Linked DNA regions of Rattus norvegicus. The protein of the gene in region 2 binds, or shares a complex with, the protein of the main gene of each other region. Links are inferred from orthologs where the notes say so. Each region holds a gene or a part of one and is shown on either strand. Other genes may lie near its edges.

What was found. The genes of interacting proteins can lie anywhere in the genome.
Region 1: the proteins of Mfsd1 (region 2) and Glmp are in contact, whole or in part, in a cryo-EM structure (PDB 8R8Q), measured with the Mus musculus proteins. The link is inferred for Rattus norvegicus from reciprocal best matches to the Homo sapiens genes MFSD1 and GLMP. Residues at the interface, in NP_080089.1 of Mus musculus: Val288, Glu292, Lys293, Arg295, Phe349, Phe351, Leu411, Asp412, Lys414, Gly415, Tyr416, Leu417, Leu418, Val421, Ile424, Ser428, Leu432, Val435, Leu439; in NP_064387.1 of Mus musculus: Glu250, Asn252, Ser253, Ile254, Asp255, Asp256, Glu257, Pro260, Ala261, Phe263, Gln264, Arg292, Phe364, Leu367, Val368, Ile371, Met372, Ala375, Ala378, Leu381, Met382, Gly385, Phe389.

The regions. Positions count from the first base shown.
Region 1 is NC_086020.1:176,088,594-176,098,502, forward strand, and holds Glmp (glycosylated lysosomal membrane protein precursor), read left to right. Parts: upstream 1-3,504; 5' UTR 3,505-3,530; coding exon 3,531-3,650; intron 3,651-4,125; coding exon 4,126-4,380; intron 4,381-4,561; coding exon 4,562-4,759; intron 4,760-4,845; coding exon 4,846-5,064; intron 5,065-6,242; coding exon 6,243-6,499; intron 6,500-6,599; coding exon 6,600-6,765; 3' UTR 6,766-7,095; downstream 7,096-9,909. Other genes in the region: Tmem79 (transmembrane protein 79), read right to left, coding at 8,172-8,385. UniProt on the Homo sapiens protein: Required to protect lysosomal transporter MFSD1 from lysosomal proteolysis and for MFSD1 lysosomal localization.
Region 2 is NC_086020.1:154,152,838-154,162,723, forward strand, and holds the start of Mfsd1 (major facilitator superfamily domain-containing protein 1), read left to right. Parts: upstream 1-3,366; 5' UTR 3,367-3,392; coding exon 3,393-3,552; intron 3,553-5,399; coding exon 5,400-5,452; intron 5,453-6,357; coding exon 6,358-6,470; intron 6,471-8,085; coding exon 8,086-8,128; intron 8,129-8,724; coding exon 8,725-8,792; intron 8,793-9,886. UniProt on the Homo sapiens protein: Lysosomal dipeptide uniporter that selectively exports lysine, arginine or histidine-containing dipeptides with a net positive charge from the lysosome lumen into the cytosol.

The DNA of each region.
Region 1 (9,909 bases), about 22 Mb from region 2:
GTCTCAAGGACAAAGTATATACAGAGCCAGTGAGGTTCAGTGGGCAAAAGTGCTTGCCGTTAAAGCCAATGGCATTCAGTCCTCAGTTTCCATAGTGGATGAAGAAGAGGTTCCCAAAAGTTGTCCATTGACCTCATCAATGTCCACAGTGTGGCACATGCATTCGTAGACATTACACAAAAGCAAGGGAGCCCAGCTTCAGGAGGCTGAGGTGGGAGTCTCCCTTTATCTAAAGCCAGACTGGACTACAAAGAAATGTCTGTCTCAGTGTATAAGATCTTTTGCTCTCCCAGAAGAAGCAAGTTCAATTCCTAGCATCTACACTTGGTAGCTCATTGTTACCTCCAGCTCCAGGGGACCCAAGTCCCTCTTTTAGCCTTCTGAGCTACCCCTACAGATGTTGAATACACATAAAAATATCAGATCCCATCCTGGTCTATATAGGCTGATCCAGGCTAACCAGGGCTACATATTTTTTTTTAATAGGGGCCTATGATCCCAGTTTGGCAATTTCAAGGATATAGAAATAGGTTCTCAAGTGTGAATATAAATTGATAAATCTCAGAGGTAAACATGATCTAGCCAGTGAGAGCCAGGCATGTTGGTGCACACCTTTAAACCCAGCACTTGGCTAAGTTGCACAGAGTGAGTTCCAGGGCTGCACCGAAACCCAGTCTCCAAGTGCATTTGTGTGTCCCTGTGTGTGTATGGAGCGGAGATGGTTCAGTGCTCTTCGAAAGGACCCAGATCCAGTTCCCAGCACTCACTGTAGTTTACAGTTCCATGGAATCTGATACCCTCTTCTGGTTTCTTTAGGTATCCAAATACATTCTTAGATACAGACACAAACTTTTTTTAAAAGTTTAATACATTTACAAGACATTCAGCAGGTGGTTCGAGGAGACGTACCTTCCCCCTTAGACCATGGCCAAGTCATCTGTAACTTTGAGGAGAAGCCACTGTCGATGGTGGCCACTGCCGTGACTTACTTGAAGCCTTGATTGGCCACATTTTGGCACTACGCCAAGGTTGAGCTGGTTCCCCTAATCCCTGGTAAAATCCCTACAGCTATTCAGAGTGTGAAAAAAAAAAATAATTGGAAGTGCTAAGACTGGTAGCTTCAAACACCTTACAGTGAAGGAAGCTGTGCTGAATGGGTTGGTGGCCACTGAAGTGTGGATATGTTCTTATATCAGAGAGATCATAGTCAAATGTGGCATTGTTGGCTATGAGGTTTGAAGACTAATCTTTAACTTCCAATTTGAGATCTTATTTGAATGTTCTTGGACTATGTATGATGAGACTGCTATCTGAATAAAATACTAGCTGTGGAAAAAAAAATACATGTACTGGTTGCTCCTCCCTCAATTCCCACCACTTAGGTGGTTCACAACCTTTTGTAATTTGTAATTCCAGCAATTAGAAGGCTATGAATATATAGTAAATTCTAAGACAGCCAGGGTCACATGTAAAACCTTGTTTCAAAAACAAAAACTGGCCTATGTGGTGTGTCTTTAATCCCAGCACTGTGGAGGCAGTGGCAGACAGATCAAGGACAGCCTGGTCTACAGAACATGTTCCAGGATAGGGCTATGCAGAGAAACCTTGTCTCTGAGTAGGTTGGAGATAACAAGCTCTGAAAGCACTTGCTTAACGTTCTCATGTAGGCCTGATTTTTTTTTTTTAAAACAAGGTCTATGTAATTCTGGTTAGCTAGGATTAAAGGCTTGTGACAGGACACCTGGTTCAAATTTGTACTGCGTTATTAGTCTAACAATTAAGATTTAAGTTGGAGCTGGAGAAAATACTCAGTAATTAAGAGCACTGACCCAGAGGACCCAAGGTTTGATTTCCAGCATCTACATGGCAGCTCACAGCCATCTGTAACGACAGCCTCAGAGGATCTGACTTCCTTTTCTGGTCTCTGAGGTCACCAGGCACAGACAGACATGCAGGCAAATACCTTTCAAGTAAAGTAAGATTTTTAGGAAAAACTGGCTGATTGTGGTGCTCATGCCTTTAATTCCAGCACACAGGAGCTAGAGGAAGGCAGGTGGATAATGAGACCCTGGCTCAAAGATTCCAGCAGAAGGAGCATGCATCTAGTCAAGTTTGGCTAATTGTGTTCCTTTTTATTTGTGGTAACTTCACAGTAAAATTGTGAGCTCTTCCAGTAAGAAAGCCTACCTACCTCGTAATCCAATAAATACTACGATGTCATCAAAAGGAGCCCTCTAGGGTATTTCCATTACATGGTGTGTGTGTGTGTGTGTGTGTGTGTGTGTGTGTGTGTGTGTGTGTGTGTGTGTGTGTGTGACTTTGAGTTGGTTCTCTTGCCACCATGTAGGTCCTTGGGGCTGAACACAGGTCATCAGGCTTGTTTATGAAATGCATTTACCTGCTGAGCATCTCACATGCCCCAGACCTTGAATTTCTGACCCTCCTCCTCCCACCTCCTGGCTGGGATTAGGGTGTCTTGGCCCCCATAACCTGTGTTATATGGTGGTATGCTGGAGATTAAATCCAAGATGTCGTATGCTAAGCATGCACCCCACCAACTGAGCTACATCCCTAGCCCTTTTGGGTTTTATTTCTTTTTTTTTTAAGTAATTTTTTTATTTCTTTTTTTTTTAAAGATTTATTCATTATATTATATATAAGTACACTGTAGCTGTCTTCAGATACACCAGAAGAGGGCATTGGATCTCTTTACAGATGGTTGTGAGCCACCATGTGGTTGCTGGGAATTGAACTCAGGACCTCTGGAAGAGCAGTCGGGTGCTCTTAACCGCTGAGCCATCTCTCCAGCCCCTTTATTTCTTTTTTAAAGGCAGTTTTTCACTCTACCTGGAGTTGGCTCTATAATCCTCAAATTCATAGTGCTCCTCCTACCTCAGTCTTTCAAAAGCTGGGATTGCAGAAGCAAGCCTCCATTCCTGTCTTGGTTCTGTTTTCTGAGACCACCCTGCCTGAGGATCTTTGATTATTCTTTTACATTTTATTTTATTTGTTTCATGTGAGCAGTGCCTCAGGATGCATGTATAAATCAGAGTACAGCTTCTGGGAGTCATTTTTCTCCTCCCACCATGTTGGTCTTGAATATACAACTCAAGTCCAGTTTGGGGCAAACACATTTACTGAGCCATCTTGCTGACCTCCAAGGGTTCTTTTATTATCAATCTAGTACTCCAGTTCCTCTCCCTATCTTTCTACCACAGAGCAGTAACATACAGATTTACTCTGTGGAAATTTAAATCTGGGCATACTCACCAGAGGTGATGTGGCTGGGACTGGCAGGAGGAGAGGCAGGAGTATGTTTGCACAGCTGGTCTAGAATCTCTTGCAGGTCAACCTGTTGATGATAAACTACCTCAGCTTTCCTGATGCTATTCCAACTTTTGCTGAGATCCAGGTTAATGGAAGCGGTCCCTTTAAGAACTGGTTTGGTGGCCCGCCCTCTAAAAGGATCAGCAGGAAGGGAGTCATGTGACTCTGAGGCTCTTCCGCTGAGTTTAGCTAGCTGTGGCTGTATGTTACGCTGTTGGGGACCTCACTGGGGCTGGGTCCCCTGGGCCCCAACCCCATGGCTCCTTTTGAGTCTACTTGTGTGTACAGTTCCATTTGGCCTGCTAGGAGAAGAGACTCGCCAGGTAAGGGCTCTGGAACTAAAGTAATAGATGTTTCCGGAAATCCTATCTTTCTAGGATGACCTGAATCTGGGGCAACAGAGGGGTGGAAGACAAGGGAGAAGTTTCAACCCAGTGTGGAGCCATGAGTGATTGGAAGGATTGGGGGGATGGGGGTGTCAGATCAAGCATAACTGCTTCTGCTTTCTGACAGTGGTTCAGACATTGTAGCCCAGGAACAGGCAAGTTTGGGGACTTAAAAAGCCTTTTCAGCCCTAAGCCCTCTGAGTAATCCTGGCTCCACCCTATCTTCTCAATCTTACATCTGCCCCTGATTCCAAGTTTCCCTCAGTTTCTACACTTCCCTCATGCCTGGTCCTCAAGTGCCCAACTTGCCATTCCTGGCATTACCCAGGTCCTGCCCTCCACCCACAAGCTGCTTCTTTGCCTGTGAGCATCCCTGATCTTGTTCTTTCTGCCCCACTACCCCATGTTTCAGGTATCTATGGAAGTTATTTCTGGCTGGCCAAATCCCCAGAACCTGCTTCATATCCGGGCAGTGGGCAGCAACTCTACCCTGCACTATGTGTGGAGCAGCCTGGGGCCTCCAGCTGTGGTGCTGGTGGCCACCAACACCACTCAGAGTGTCCTGAATGTCAACTGGAGTCTCCTGCTGTCTCCTGATCCTGCTGGGGCCCTGATGGTGCTCCCCAAGAACAGCATTCAGTTTTCTTCCGCTCTTGTCTTCACCAGGGTGAGAGGGTCTGAAGGAGCTCAGAGAGAAGAGCACAAGAAGAGAGTCCATCCTACCCCAAGGGCTAGGGAAGGGCTTAGCACAGGGTGGGTGACGTGAATGCAGCTTTAGGTGGGGTGGACTGGGAGGAAAACTCAAGAGAAAGCCAGAAGGCAAGTCTCTTCCACTCTGCCCTGTCCAGCTGCTTGAGTTTGACAGCACCAATGTGTCAGAGGGGACACAGCCCCCAGGAAAGCCATACCCTCCGTACTCCTTGGCCAAGTTCTCCTGGAACAATGTCACCAACTCATTGGATCTTGCCACCCTGAGTGCCATCTTTCGAGGCCACCCTGTAGATGACCCTACTGGAGCATTTGCCAATGGCAGCCTGACCTTCAAGGTGAGGATCTGGGGACAGCTGACTGATGGGTATGGGAGTATCCCTCGAGCTCCATTCTCCCCACTCGGCTTCCTTCTCCTTCCTAGGTCCAGGCCTTTTCTAGATCTGGTCGACCTGCCCAGCCCCCTCGCCTCCTGCACACAGCCGATGTCTGCCAGGTAGAAGTGGCCCTGGTTGGAGCTTCTCCTCGTGGAAACCACTCCCTATTTGGTCTAGAGGTAGCCACCTTGGGACAGGGCCCCGACTGCCCCTCAGTGAACGAACAGGACTCCATCGATGATGAGTACGCACCTGCTGTCTTCCAGGTCAGGGTTCCATGGGACAGAGATGGGTGGGAATGTAAAGTGGGGTCCCTCCCGCTAGCAGCCCAGAAAATCCACCAACCACTTACTGTTTTTTTAAAAAAAGATTTGTGGGCTGGGGATTTAGCTCAGTGGTAGAGCACTTACCTAGGAAGCGCAAGGCCCTGGGTTTGGTCCCCAGCTCCGAAAAAAAGAACCAAAAAAAAAAAAAAAAGATTTGTGTTTGTTTGGGTTTTTTGAAGGATTTCTTTATTTTTATTTTATGTGCATGTATGTCTGGGAAGGTGCCAGATCCCCTGGAACTGGAGTTACAGACATGTGAGCTGCCCTATGGGTGCTGGGATTTAAACCCAGGTCCTCTAGAAACACAGCCAGTGCTCTTAACTGCTGAGCCATCTCTCCAGCCCCAAAAGATTTGTCTTTTTATGTGTGTGTATTTGGGTGCATGTGTGTATAGGTTCCTAGGATGCGAGAGGAGGGTTTGAGATACCCTGGAACTGGAATTACAAATGGTTGAGTCTCCTGACACGAGTACCAGGAACTGAATTGGGTTTTCTACTAGAGCAGCAAGCTCTCAGCATTGAGCCATCACTAAAGCCACAGCCACCACCCGTTTTTAAAAGGGTTGTTGGTTTTTGTGTGTTTGTTGAGACAGGGTCTCCCCGCGTGTCCCTGAGACAATGTATCTCTGACTGGCAGACCTAGAACTCTTACTATGTAGACCAGGCTGTCCTTGAACTCAGAAAGACTCGTCTGCTTCTGCCTCCTGAGAGCTGGGATTAAATGCATGCACCACTACCTATGGTCCCAGTTTCTTATTTATCAACACTTTCTCTGGCTCCTTTTAATGTTGGGTTCTAGTTTGTTGCCTGCCATCTCCACCCTCCAAGGAAGCAGACAAAACCAGTGCTTCACAGATCCTCGCTGGGATTCTCCTTAACCTGGGGCTCAGAGAGCGCGAGCACTGAATGATCACAGCTCTGTTCATCCCGCTTTCTCTCTGTGGAGGAGAGACCGGCCTCCTACATCTAGCATGTCAATTCTACAACTACACTTAGTCCTGGGGACGCTTGGTCACCTCCTGCCTGTACTACTGAGATGCATTCTGAGAGACGTGGGGAAACAAAAGGATTGCTGCAGGTTGGTCCGCCTCACCCTGCCTCTTTTGCTTTTCTCTCCAGCTGAACCGGTTGCTGTGGGGCTCTTCACCGTCTGGCTTCATGCAATGGCGGCCAGTGGCTTTCTCTCAGGAGCAGCGGGCCCGAGAATCTGCCCTCGCCTGCCAGGCTTCTGCTCTTCACCCCACCTTGGCATATCCTCTCCCTCATTCACCAATTGTTCAAGCCTTCTTTGGGTCCCAGAACAACTTCTGTGCCTTCAACCTGACCTTTGGGGCTCCCACAGGCCCTGGCTACTGGGATCAACACTACCTTTGCTGGTAAGAAGCAAGGGTTTGGTCAAAGTGGAGAAAGGCTGAACTGCTCAGCCTGCCCTCCTAAATTTGCTTACCTTTTTTTTTTTAAACCTTCTCGTTCTAGGTCAATGCTTCTGGGCATAGGCTTCCCTCCAGTAGATTCCTTCTCTCCACTAGTCCTCGGAATCATGGCGGTAGCCCTGGGAGCTCCAGGACTCATGTTTCTCGGGGGAGGCCTATTTCTGCTGCTGCGCCACAAGCAGTATTCTGAGTACCAGTCCATAAATTGAAGCCTACTCTCCAGAGGGACGGGCAGAACCACATCCTCTGCCTTGCTGTGCCTCAAACTGTCAGAAGCTGGAGTGCCAGTGCTGTGATCTGCTTCTCTGCAGAACCTCAGAAGCCAGCCTCAACCTACTGGGGGGCTCCCAGTAAGTTGTCCTTCCGAACCCACGGGAAGGCTACGATTACTGGTCCCCCACATTCCCATTTCCTGTGGATGAAACTTGAAGGCCTACATGAGAGTGACTGTTGGCTGCCCTAGGGGACATGAAATAGACAATTTCCCCATACAAGATTCCAGTCTCACTCTGATTTTTAAATTAGATTTATGTATTTTATTATATTTGTGAGTCTTTTGTTTGTATGGATGTGCAGTGTGGCGGTCGGGGAACTGCCTGCAGAGGTCAGAAGAGGGCACTAGATCCCACGGAACTGTAAACCACCGTGCGGGTGCTGGGGAAATTGAACCAGAGTCCTTTGCAAGAGCAGCAAGTACTCTTACCAGCTGAGCCATCTCTCTAGCCCAGGTTTCCATCTTTTAATGTGTGAGTGCTGCTGGGCCGGTTTGGGGTGGTTCCAACAAAAGGGAAGACTGAGGGAAAGGATTGAAAGGTAGTTTCTCTTTGAGGGCCTGTTTTCTCACCAGTCCTAGTGGTCTCTCCCCAAGGCTCCCCCTTGGTGCTAGGAGGTAGCTTATGCCTGGGGGAGGTGGAGAAGGAAGCAGAAAGAAAGAGTCACAAGAGAGTGGCAGTGATTTATTGCATACTCACATATACATACAGGCTGACGGCCACCCTGCCTTCCTAGCCACCATGTGAGTACAAACACAGTTCTTCTGGAGGTTTTATCTCTATGCCCTTCCCCCTACAGTGGGACTTCTTGGAAGTCTGAAAAGTGGAAGGTCACAGAGACCCATGTAGTTGGGAGAGAGAAGACAACAACTATGTATGTCTTGACTGAGGCAAAAGAGTCTTGAGGCCAGTGGTAATCGAGTCCTGAACCCAAGGTCCTCCAGAAAGGTTTTCACCAACTATCTGATATGACATCAACTTTACCCTTGGGTGTGGGCAGTTTTTCCTTCTCCTTGACTCTCTTCTAGATGGCTGGCACAGACAGTCAGGTGGGGCTGTGGTTCTGCACTCCTGACCCACAAGAAGCTAGGGAGTAAGATAACCATCCAGCCATAGCTCCTGGGTCATGGTAGGAAGCTGCCCAAGAAGGAAGTGTGTTTCTCCAGTCTCCCTTGGGCTCTTGTCCTCTCGGGTAAAGCAGGAGCTAGGAGAAAACAGGGGTATGGGGCCCCAGTGGGGAAGTAGCAAGGTTCCTTGCAACAAATGTCCATTGGCTGGGCAGAAGCCAGGTCTGCAACTGTTCCAGGGAAATGCCGAAAACCCCCTGCACAGCTCTGGGTGGCTCAGCCCCATGAGCGGGGCCTGTAGTCAGAAACAGACCGGACATGGTCGGGGTAGTCCAAGCGGCTCTCGGAGGCACTGAGCATGCGCTCTGGCTCCACCACGAACATGTAATAGAGGTTCCACACCAGCATGGCCAAGAGCGGCAGGAAAGTCAGGCCGTAGCCAAAGCCTCGGAAGGAGCGGCCCACAGCAAAGGTCAGCCAGTATATCAGCCTGTGGAAACATAACAAGGTCCCAGGCAGTTTGTCAAGAGATGGCAGGAGTCTAGGCGAGAAGGGTTGTCAAGGCCGACGCTACTTACTCCAAACACCTCCACTTCCCCACATCTCTCTGAAATGAGACTATTATTCCTGGCTCCTACTTACTATTTAAAATTTTAAGTTGGCAAAACAATTCATTTTTAGTTAAATTACAATTAAATGTTCATTTACACGATGGAGAGTTACATGAGAATTCAACTTTAACATTGCCTACCCTTTTCTGTTTCCACCTTCTCCTCAACTCCCACCCTAGGCATCCAGCGCTCTGGTTTCGTGAGTTATTTCTGTTTTGTAGATCTGACAAAAAGCTATTTGTGGTCCAGGGCTTCCCAAAGCCAGGCAAGTGTTCTACCACTGAACTATATCCCCAGGTCCCCTAGTCCTCCTTTGCCCTCCCAAATCAAGGGTTAACGGGTACTCTACCAGTAGTGCTGGGGACTGAAGCTCGTGCTGTGTGCTATGCATGTACCCTAGTTACTGAGCTGCAGCCCTAACCCGGTGTCTCCCCTTACTCTCCGTTGTTTTGCTTGTTACTTGTCGGTTAGTATTTGAGTCAGAATCTCACTGTGTTACCCTGTATGGCCTCCAGCATGTACCGGTTCTCCTGTCTGAGACGGCACTGCCTGGGACCGCAGCCCTGCACACCAGGCTCTGTTCTCACTTAGCTCCAGTGTGTTCTATGTTTGCCCTTTGCAGATAAAGAAACCAAGATCTTGTTCCTGTCTCAGTGAAATAAAATAAATTCACTGATGACTCCAAATCAAATAAAGTAAAAGGGGGGGTGGCGGTGGGGGGGAGGGGGAGCAAGGGTCAGTGAGGAGACCTCCATGAGAGTGAACTGGCCTCTGGGGAAGAAGTCAGCGTTCACTGACTAGCAGATTCCTACCCAGAGAGCAAAGGTATCAGCCATCCAACCACTAGAGGGGGCTGTTTAAGTACAAGAACTGGTCGGTGTAGTCCAGTGTCAAGAAAGTCAGTGTTGGGCCAATTCATTCACTTGTTTTATTTTTTTCAGGCAAGGTCATAGTTGTGTTGTGCTGCCTGACCTGGGACTCACTATGCAACTCAGGCTGGCATGAACTCTTGGCAGCCCTCTTGCCTCGGCTTCCCAAATACTGGGATCGCAGGCCTGAGCCAGCTACTCAGCTTTAGGGCAGTTGTTAGACCTAAGGAAGAACGTCCTAGCCATTAGGACTCTTAAAACTGGAAATGGGTGTGATGGGGATCTCAGCACTTGAGAGGCTGAGACAGGAGAATTGCCAAGAGTTTGTGTCCAGACTCCATGAGATGGTGACTGTCTCAAAATAAAACAGAAAACGTTCCACATTTTGTGTTCAGCTAGAGGCCAATTCCTTTTTTTTTTTTTTTTTTTTTTTTTTGGTTCTTTTTTTGGAGCTGGGGACCGAACCCAGGGCCTTGCGCTTGCTAGGCAAGCGCTCTACCACTGAGCTAAATCCCCAGCCCCTAGAAGCCCATT
Region 2 (9,886 bases):
TTCCCCCTACTTGGTTGATTTCAGCTCTGAGTTTGATTATTTCCTGCCATCGACTCCCTTTGGGTGTATTTGCTTCTTTTTCTTCTAGAGTTTTTAGGTGTGCTGTCAAACTGCTAGTGTATGTTCTCTCCAGTTTCTTTTTGGAGGCACTCAGAGCTATGCGTTTTCCTCTTAGCACTGACTTCATTGTGTCCAATATGTGTGGTTATGTTGTGCCTCCATTTTTATTAAATTCTAAAAAGTCTTTAATTTTTTATTTCTTCCTTGACCAAGTCATCATTGAGTAGAGCCTTGTTCAGCTTCCATGTGTATATGGACTTCCTGTTGTTTGGTTGTTATTGAAGACCAGCCTTAGTCCGTGGTGGTCTGATAGGATGCATGGGATTATTTCAATCTTCTTGTATCTGTAGGGCTGCTTTGTGACCAATTATATGGTCAATATTGGAGAAGGTTCCTTGAGGCGCTGAGAAGGAGGTGTATTCTTTGTTTTAGGACGAAATGTTCTATAGATATCTGTGAAATCCATTTGGTTCATAACTTCTGTTAGTTTCTCTGTGTCTCTGTTTAGTTTCTGTTTCCATGATCTGTCCATTGCTGAGAGTGGGTGTTGAAGTCTCCCACTATTATTGTGTGAGGTACAATGTGTGCTTTGAGCTTCAGTGAAGTTTCTTTTATGAACGTGGGTGCCCTTGCATTTGGAACATAGATGTTCAGCATTGAGAGTTCATCTTGGTGGATATTTCCTTGACCAGTATGCAGTGTCCTTCCTTATCTTTTTAGATAATCTTTGGTTGAAAATACTTTTTATTTGATTTTAGAAAGGCTACTTCAGCTTGTTTCTTGGGACCATTTACTTGGAAAATGTTTTTCCAGCCTTTTACTCTAAGGTAGCATCTGTCTTTGTCACTGAGTTTCATTTCCTGTATGTATGCAGCAAAATGCTGGGTCCTCTTTACGTATCCAGTCTGTTAGTCTATGTCTTTTTATTGGGGAATTGAGTCCATTAATGTTAAGAGATATTAAGGAAAAGTGATTGTTGCTTCTTGTTATTTTTGTTGTTGTTGTTGTTAGAGGTGGAATTGTGTTTGTGTGGCTATCTTCTTGTTGGTTTGTTAAAAGAAGATTGCTCTTTTGCTTTTTCTAGGGTGTAGTTTCCCTCCTTGTGTTGGAGGGATCATAATTTACATTAAAGTTAGATAAGGGCCAGAATAACATCAAAACATTATTTTTACTATTGTTATTTTTATTGTTATCTTACACATAACATGCCTATTACTTTTGACCTGTATCTTCTTCAGTTATGTTAGTTTAAATTTGTATAAACATTAATTGGTTTTGTGAATGCATCAAACCACAGTCAGGGTCAAGGAAATCTCAGATGTGTAGCCAGGCATGTCTGTTGGGAGGATAGAGGGCCGAGAACTGCCTAAGCAAACACAAAATGGGGTCAGGACAAGAGGGCGTTTGTTACCTTAGTCATTCAAATACAAACATCTATTTATCATTCGAAAGGAATTTAACCTCCTTCAACACAGATGTACTACCTGATTGACTACAATAGTATGATAGCTATTTTTACTTAGATTTTCAAAGACTGAAAAAAAAAGCTGGGTTAGAGATAGTGGTAAGATAGGGTTCTTACCTGTATTGGTGGTAGACATGTGAATGGGGATAGCTTTTAGTATGAATACTATTTTTAAAATATATAACATTTTAAATTAAAGTTGCTCTTTGATTTAGCCATTAGACTTGTCTTAGTTAGGGTTTCTATTGCTTTGATGAAACCTTATGACCAAAGCAAGCTAGGGAGGAAAGGACTTATTTAGCTTACACTTCCACAGCACAGTCCATCCCTGAAGGAAGTCAGGATAGGACCTCAAACAGGGCAGGAACTGGACGCAGGAGCTGATGCAGAGGCCATGGAAGAGTGCTGCTCACTGGCTTCCTCCTCATGGCTTGTTCTTCCTGCTTTCTTACAGAACCCCAGAGTACCAACCCAAGGATAGCCGGGCCCTCCCCAACAATCACTAATTAAGAAAATGTCCTACAAACTTGCCTACAGGCTCACTCCATGGAGGCATTTTCTTAACTGAGGCTCCTTCCTCTCTAATGACTTCAGCTTGTGTCAAGTTGACATAAAATTAGCCACCACAAGACTCAGTAATCGCTCCTATGGGCAAAGCCAGGGAGAGTAAAATGCTGGTCCTGGCCCTTCACTGTAGTACAGCTAATGCTGAGTGAAAAAATCAGCCCAAAATGGGGTATGACCACTGTGCTGACAAAGCACAGTGTTAGTCAGGGGACTTCAAGGTAACAAGCAGGCTATGTATAAACATTCCAAACGGTATCACTCTGACACAGTCCTTCTGCTTCCCCATCCCCTATGTTTGGATCTCTTTGGAGGGCCCAACCTAGAAATCTAGGAGACACTCAAAAGCCCTCCTCCTCTTTCAAACCTCATGTGCTAGTTTTTAAACACATCCCCAATTTACTTTGTAAGCAGTCACTGGTACACTCTTTGGTGCCAAACCTTTTGACCTTCCAAGGTCCGTCTTTGAGCCTCTCACTTTCACTTCTGCAGCGTGCTTCACAGCTATTTAGCACCTAGTCTTGCTACACTTAAAATTCTAGTGCAAACACTCGGCACACCTAGAAAAGTGTGGTAGAAGGCTGTTTTGCCAAATCAAGCTTCTCAAAACAAACCTAGTGGTCTCAGTATTCTGCTGGAAAACTTTGAATGTCTCATAAAGACTTTTTTTTTTTACTCTTGACTTCTTATTCCAAGATAATATAAACGTGAAATTATAAACGTATAAATCCAAGACCAGCCATTTTTGGGGAATTCAATGCCTATTTATTTCAGCCGAAGTTATCCATCCATCCATCCATCCATCCATCCATCCATCCATCCACTCATCTATTCGCATTATTATTTTCTGTCCGTCTCCCTAAGTAAATTCTCTCACCAATATTCTGAGGTGAGAGAATTTGTACTCTTTTTTAGTACATAAGTGCCCGGTACATCAGATGTTTCGTCAGGTCTGGGAGCATGAAGAGCTGGAAGTGAGGAGTGTGGAGGACTTAGCAATGAGAAGGACTCTAACTCTGGTCAAGCCTTCCACCAGGACTTCTGCACCAGCATTTCCTAACGGCTTTAAATCAGATGCTAATGAGGAAGAACCCTATTCCACAGGACCAGGTCACCTACTTCCACTCCTTCCCCTATGTGCACCACATCAGCAGAAAAGAAAGAACACTAGTCCCGACACCACGTGAACCGCCGTTCACGTGAGCGCGGGGAGGCGTGACCCGAGAGAGTCACGTGAGCGTACGCGGTCACGTGAGCGCCGCCACTGCCACCCTGCCTCTGCTTCCTGCTCCATTCCGGACCGATGGAGGAGGAAGATGGGGAAGAACGGGCGCTGCTTGGGGGCCGCCCGGAGGCGGACAGCGCACTCCAGGGCGCCCCTCGCGCTCTGCCCGCGCTCTGCGACCCCAGCCACCTGGCGCACCGGCTTGTGGTGCTTTTGCTGATGTGCCTCCTTGGCTTCGGTGAGCGGGGTTGGGCTAGGGCAGATGATTGAGGGATCTCGGGGTTCGGGTCTCCGGATCCGCGCTGCTGCCGGGGCTTGGGAGCCCGCTTTTTCCAAGCGTCGCGAGGGAGGTGACTTTTGTTCCTGCCAAGCCCCGTAGCACAGCATCTCCTCCATGGGGACGCAGATGAGTAGGAATCTCAGATCTTTCCCCCGGAGCCCTGTGCTCGAGTGTCAGAACGTTGCTCCGGGGAATTTCGGAGCGTGACTAAGTCCCTCTTCCTCCCTCCCCAGGAACCCCTCCCGCCACCCAGTGCTTTCCTTTACATTCTTTTAGAGCTCGGACCCGCTTTGGATAGTGTTCACCGCTCTGAACACCTTCGTAGGATTCTTCACTTACCTTTCCTCTGTGGGGCAGTCCTGCAAGACCACGCTTGTTAAGTTGGTTTCACTTATGAAATCTGATCCCCGGGAGAACACTTTCATTAGACTACCTTCCCTCCTGTGTTACAGTTTTTAGTTTACATTGAAACTGTTCGGATTTATAACCCCTGGCTTGGCTTGAAAGTGTGTTTTCAGGGGTCAGATTCACAAATGCTCCTGGTGTATAAAAGATACTTTGGGCTCTGGTTTCTAGTTTTTTGGGAAGATGGTACCTATTTGCTTTGAAACGTGGTATTATGGGGTTGGGGATTTAGCTCAGTGGTAGAGCACTTGCCTAGCAAGTGCAAAGCCCTGGGTTCGGTCCCCAACTTCAAAAAAAAAAAAAAAAAAAAGAAAGAAAGAAAGAAAAAAGAAACGTGGTATTGAGCTGGTCATGGTGGTACCCTTCTTAATCTCAGTACTGGAAGGCAGAGACCTGAACTCCGGGATCCCTCAATCATTTGCCCTAGCCCAACCAGGCTCATGGAAGCCAAGGAATCCCTGTGAGTTAGAGAGGCCAGCCAGGGTTACAAAGTGAGATCTTGTCTCAACAAACGAACAAACCAACCATGATATTGAATTTCTTATAAGCAGTTAAATCCTAAACCAGAAGTTCCTAGGTTTAGAACCAGTAAGCAAAGACAAAACACTTGAAGAAATTGCCCGTACTCTAGCTCACAGGTTATTTTTGGTAGTTATTTTTGGTAGGTAGATTGGGCTCAATGTTCGGGTTTGAGAAACCAGAGTCCTGCCTCTCTAGCCACCGTCTCCACCTTTGGACTGTAGCTTGGTGTATTTTACTGTCAGCGTGGAAACGGGCAGTGCTAACTTGGGGCCTTAAGTCTGCCGGTTTCCCCCCCACTCCCGTTTCTAATTGCTCAGGAGATGTTGCTATTTTTCATTTGATCCCTTAGACTTGCAGTCGCGTTCTTGTTTCTAGACCGTATTCACTCAGTTATTTGCTCCTGGGTATGATGTTTGTTTGTTTGTTTGTTTGTTCTCTGCTCACAGGATCAGAATTTATTTCAAATACTGGCTTGGTTTGAATAGCTGAATACTGCTTTGGAGTAAAGTGAGAACAGCTATTGTGGCACCCATAGAGGATGCTCGTAGAATTTTTTTTTAAAGTAAGGAAAATGCAGCGATTTCATGAAGATGTTAATACAGGGATAAGCGTGGGAGGAATGAAGGAAACAAGATGATCAAAAGCAGTCGATGTTGACCTCTTAGTCAGGTTTCTGGTATTTGCTGTGTATGCACACCGCTAAATTGTGGAAGGTCTTTCGGGTGGTAGACAAGGAAGTGGTGGGAAACAAGCAAAAAACCTGTTTTCAGTGTCAGCCGTAGTAAACCTTAAACACATGGGGGAGTTCCTAGTCAGGAGTTGTCTGTATCATGTAGACATGATCAATCTGAATGAAATACGTGTGCTCCCTTTTCTAGGCAGCTATTTCTGCTACGACAACCCCGGAGCCCTCCAGACTCAGGTTAAACGGGTGAGTTGGTTCTCCACGTTCTTGTGCGGCTCTGGTTTGGAGCACTGACTCGTAGATGCTGAGACACAGCGGACGCTCAGGGTGCCCCATCTGAGAGGTCCGCTTTCTCCTCTAGTGTCTGTTATCACCAGACCCACAAGCTGCAGAGATCAAATTTGCTTCCCTAAAGAACTCATGAGTAACATATGCATGACTTGAGATGGCTTTATTCTCTAGGTAGATACTTATGGACTGGGCCCACAATGTCACCAGAAATGCTAGTTTTGGTAGGAATTTTACACCATGAGTGAATGAACCATGAGTGAATGGTGGGACAGCTTTGGCCTTCTTAGATAAACTTTGCTATTATTTACTTTTATAAATATGGATACTGGCTGCTGGGTATTGGCCCTATTTGCATTCTTGTCTGGTTTTGAATTGTAAAATTATATTTGATATTTGTTGTTTCTTGGTCATTTAGACCATTGTCATGTGCATTTTTTTTAAGCCATTAGGCAGAGAAAAAATGCACAGGCTGCCCTTTGCATTCTAGTAGGAGTTAAGGAGGGTAGCATCTATAAGATCAGGCAACAATGATTATTTTCTGTTTGGGAGGCGTCCATAATGCAGACAGAAAGGAAGAAGGAAGAACGTAGGTGATAGAAAAGGACCGAGCTGGCTTCCCTACCAGTGACAGGTCCTGCAGTCCACAAGGCCCAGGGATAGTATGTGGAAGTAAGATGTCCCCAGGTATGGCTGTTATTCTAAGGGCAAGGGTTGTAACTTTCAGAGTCTCAAGGAAGTAAACAGTTCACAAATGGTTAAGAAACTTGCCCTATACAGAAACACGGCTGTTGCCATGTTTTGCTTTGATTTGTTAATTGCAGAAACTGTATGGGAAAACTTTTTTTTTTCTCCCTATCTAGGACATGCAAGTGAATACCACGAAATTCATGCTGCTGTACGCCTGGTATTCTTGGCCCAATGTAATTTTGTGTTTCTTGGGTGGCTTTCTGATAGACCGCATATTTGGAATAAGGTAAGCTTGCAAAAAAGTGCTGGTTATTAGAATGCAGGAATGGGTTGAAGTTTTTCTTCAAAGAACTGAATAGACTTGTGAATTGACATCTGATGGACATGAAGATTTGGTTTTTGTTTTTTAAGGTTGGTTTTGGCTCTAGACTTGATCCTTGAAGCCTGGTTGGTTTATTAATTAGGGTCAGGCCTAGTAGATGCTGCTGATGGAGTAAGGTCATCAGTTTTCTGGGGTAAATTATGCTCTTAAATTGGGTTAGACGAACATGTGTGAGTTGTCGCTTGGTCAAGTCCCTGTTATGCTAACACTTAGCGCTTCCTAAGCTTCTGCTTCCTCCCTGCTCAGTAGGGGCATTGACTCCCACCTTATGAGCTTCTAGGGATTAAATGAGAGATGGAGTTGTAAAGTCTTTGCACATAGGTGGAGAGTCATCCCTCAGCTCTGTTAAGACTCAAGACTTTCCCCCTCTATGTCTGCCTGTCTTTGGCCATTGAACTTTTTGTGGCCCTGGTCATTAGGCGCTGAAGAGGAATGGTTCCATGCGCTTTGTCACTTTTCCCCTTTCTCATTGGCTGTGTTTGAACGGAGGCTTAGGGAACATCAGCTGGGGCTTCCCTCAGAGGGCAGAAGTGGAGCTGCGGAGTGGTTTTAACTGTTTCCTTACTGGGTAAGGGTTGAAACACCCTGGTGTGTTTAGGTTTGGGGGTTTGCTTTTAAGAACCTCAAACAGTTGAGTATTAAGGAAGTGCTTAGATTTTACTGGGTCTGAAGGGATAGAATTAGCTGATTTTTTAGGAAAACTAATTCCACTTATACGGCGGAGGAACTGCTTTTCACAGGGGTTATATAAACCTTCTTGGGACATTGACTTTCCCAGTTTTAGAGAATATTCGGGCCATGATTGTCCAAGGGTTCTGAGTGAATTTTAGTTTCAGAAATGCAGTTGGCTCTGATGACTTTTGAAGTCTTCTAATCCCACTTTGTGGCTCTGGTGAAATATTAATAGACTGTAGTTGGACCTGTAACTCCACTAACTTGGCGTAGAAATGCCTTCTAAAAGTAGGTTTTAGTTACCAAGGACTATAGCTGACTTAAAATTATCTACTGTAGATTTTCCTGGAATCAGTTCTAAATGAGTAAAATGAAGATTTATTTTTGTGCACGCACTGTGTGTGGCGTTGCTCCCAGGGGCCAGCTCAGGAGTCCGATCTCAGAAGCTGGAGTCACAGGCGGTGGTGAGCTGCCTCTTCAAGCCCAGGGGTGACCCTGGGCCCTCTTCAAGAGTAGTGCATGGTCTTAACTACTGAGTGTTCTTACTAGCCTCCTGCCCTACACCCTAAGTAGGAATTTAATAGAGGAGTTCCATTATTTCTAAATGAGAACTTGGGGAAGATCATTTACGTTTTAAGAGGTAATAATTGGTAAATGAACGTGTGCCGTTGCGGAACCTCGGGAATCCTGTCAGAACTTAATGTTAGTTAATGGATCTGGAAGGTTGCAAATGAGTGGTCACCTTCCTTGGATGCAGAGTGGGCAAAGAAAACCCAAGCTGGTTATTAGTACAGGACTCTGGTTACCAGCAATAATGTGAAGAAATGACATTTTCTCTCTCACACAGATGGGGCACAGTTATTTTTAGCTGCTTTGTTTGCATCGGACAGGTAAGAAAAGCCCAAATATTTACTCATTACTTGACAATAACTTTGCAGTCTTATTTAATTAATTCCCTTAGCAAAAATATGCTGAATGAATGAATGGATTTGTTTGTCAATTACTCAGGCCCGTGAATGGCCACGTGGTATCATTCATTTTAAGCCTTAAATTACATTGTCTTAGTCACCTCCTCATTGCTCTGACTGGCAGAAGCCACTTAGGAAGGAGAAGGGTTTGTTCCAGCCCACTGCTTGAGGGGAGGCATGGTGGCCGGAGCCATGACTCCGGCCGTCAGGAAACAGGAAGTGGCGGGTGCATGCTCAGTTCAATTTCTTTTTTATGCTGCTCAGCCCATAGAATGGTGCCACGCACGCTGGGGTGGGTCTTTGCACGTGGGTTAACCTAACCCAAAAGATTCCTCGCAGATATGCTGGAGGCTTGCCTCCTGGTGACTAGAAGTCCTGCTAAATGCATGAACATTCTTATTTTAATTTCTTGGATTTATTAGTGCGGGCTAGTGAAAGTGACGTGGAAATGAGGATTTGTCTTGTTATTTACTCTGTTTAAATATCCTGTTTTATTTTTATTACTATTCATATTGCAGGTCATTTTTGCTCTGGGTGGAATATTTAATGCATTTTGGCTGATGGAGCTTGGGAGGTTTGTGTTTGGGTAAGTTATAGCTTAATTTCATGTTATCTTAGCACGCTTATTAAGGATCTGTGATGCCGAGGGTTAAAGCTAGGGCCTCCCATATTCCAACCAGTCCACTGACCCACCCTAGTAGTGCTTTACTAAGGATTTAAAAGAAAACATCATTTCTGAAGAAGTTTAAAATATTCAAACCCTACAAGCTAACCACGATGACTCAGAAAACTAAGTCTTAGTTAAATCAACTAAGAAGTACACTTACATATATAGGCTATGTTTCAAAGATCTGAAATAATTCCTCACTGTTGGCCCAAGAGTGGAGTCCCGTGAGGAGAATTCTGGGAGCTTGTGAGAATTTATTTTGAAACTTGATTATATTGAAAACTTACTTAAGTCTCATTGGCAGAAGTATGAACCATCAATTTCTAGGTTGTTTACTTTGGGCATCCTCCTCTTCCTTAGCGAGTGGCAGATATGTCTTTCTGCCCCCCATTGTGGTGTCTTGAATTAGCACAGAATCTCAGGGTGACTTCCCCATGTACATTTCAGTGTCTGTTCCACAAACCTATTCTGAGGCCAGCCTCAGGCATCCTACCCTGAGAGATACAGTATGCAGAAAGAGGTCTTTTTTTCCCAGAGGCACCAGGGCGTATAGATCGATGTAGCACATCGCCAGAGGAGACAGCATGTATAAGAGCATGAAAGAGGTTAAATGGCCACATGGGTGAAGTGGGACAGTGTAGAAGGAAGTGTGGGGACTGATGTGTACACGAGAAGGATGATGGCTTTGCTAGGACAGTGCCATGCAGGATCTCAAGGGGTAGTGATAGACACGTGGGTCTAAGAGAAGGAAAGTCAAAGCCCAAGCAGTAGAAGAACGTCGACCATGCAGGAGCCTCGAGTGTTGACCAGAAAATGAGTTTCCATCTGTACAAAATGCGAATGAAGGATTCCCCTCCGTGTCGGTGCTTTGCGTAGGACACATGGTATATCTTATTTCATTGCCTGTGATTTCTAGTTAATTCAGCCAAATCACAATAGAAAATAGTAATTGCATTTTAGAGGGTGTGGGTGGGTTGCCTGTGCCCCGATGTCTGGAATGTCTGCTGTAGAGA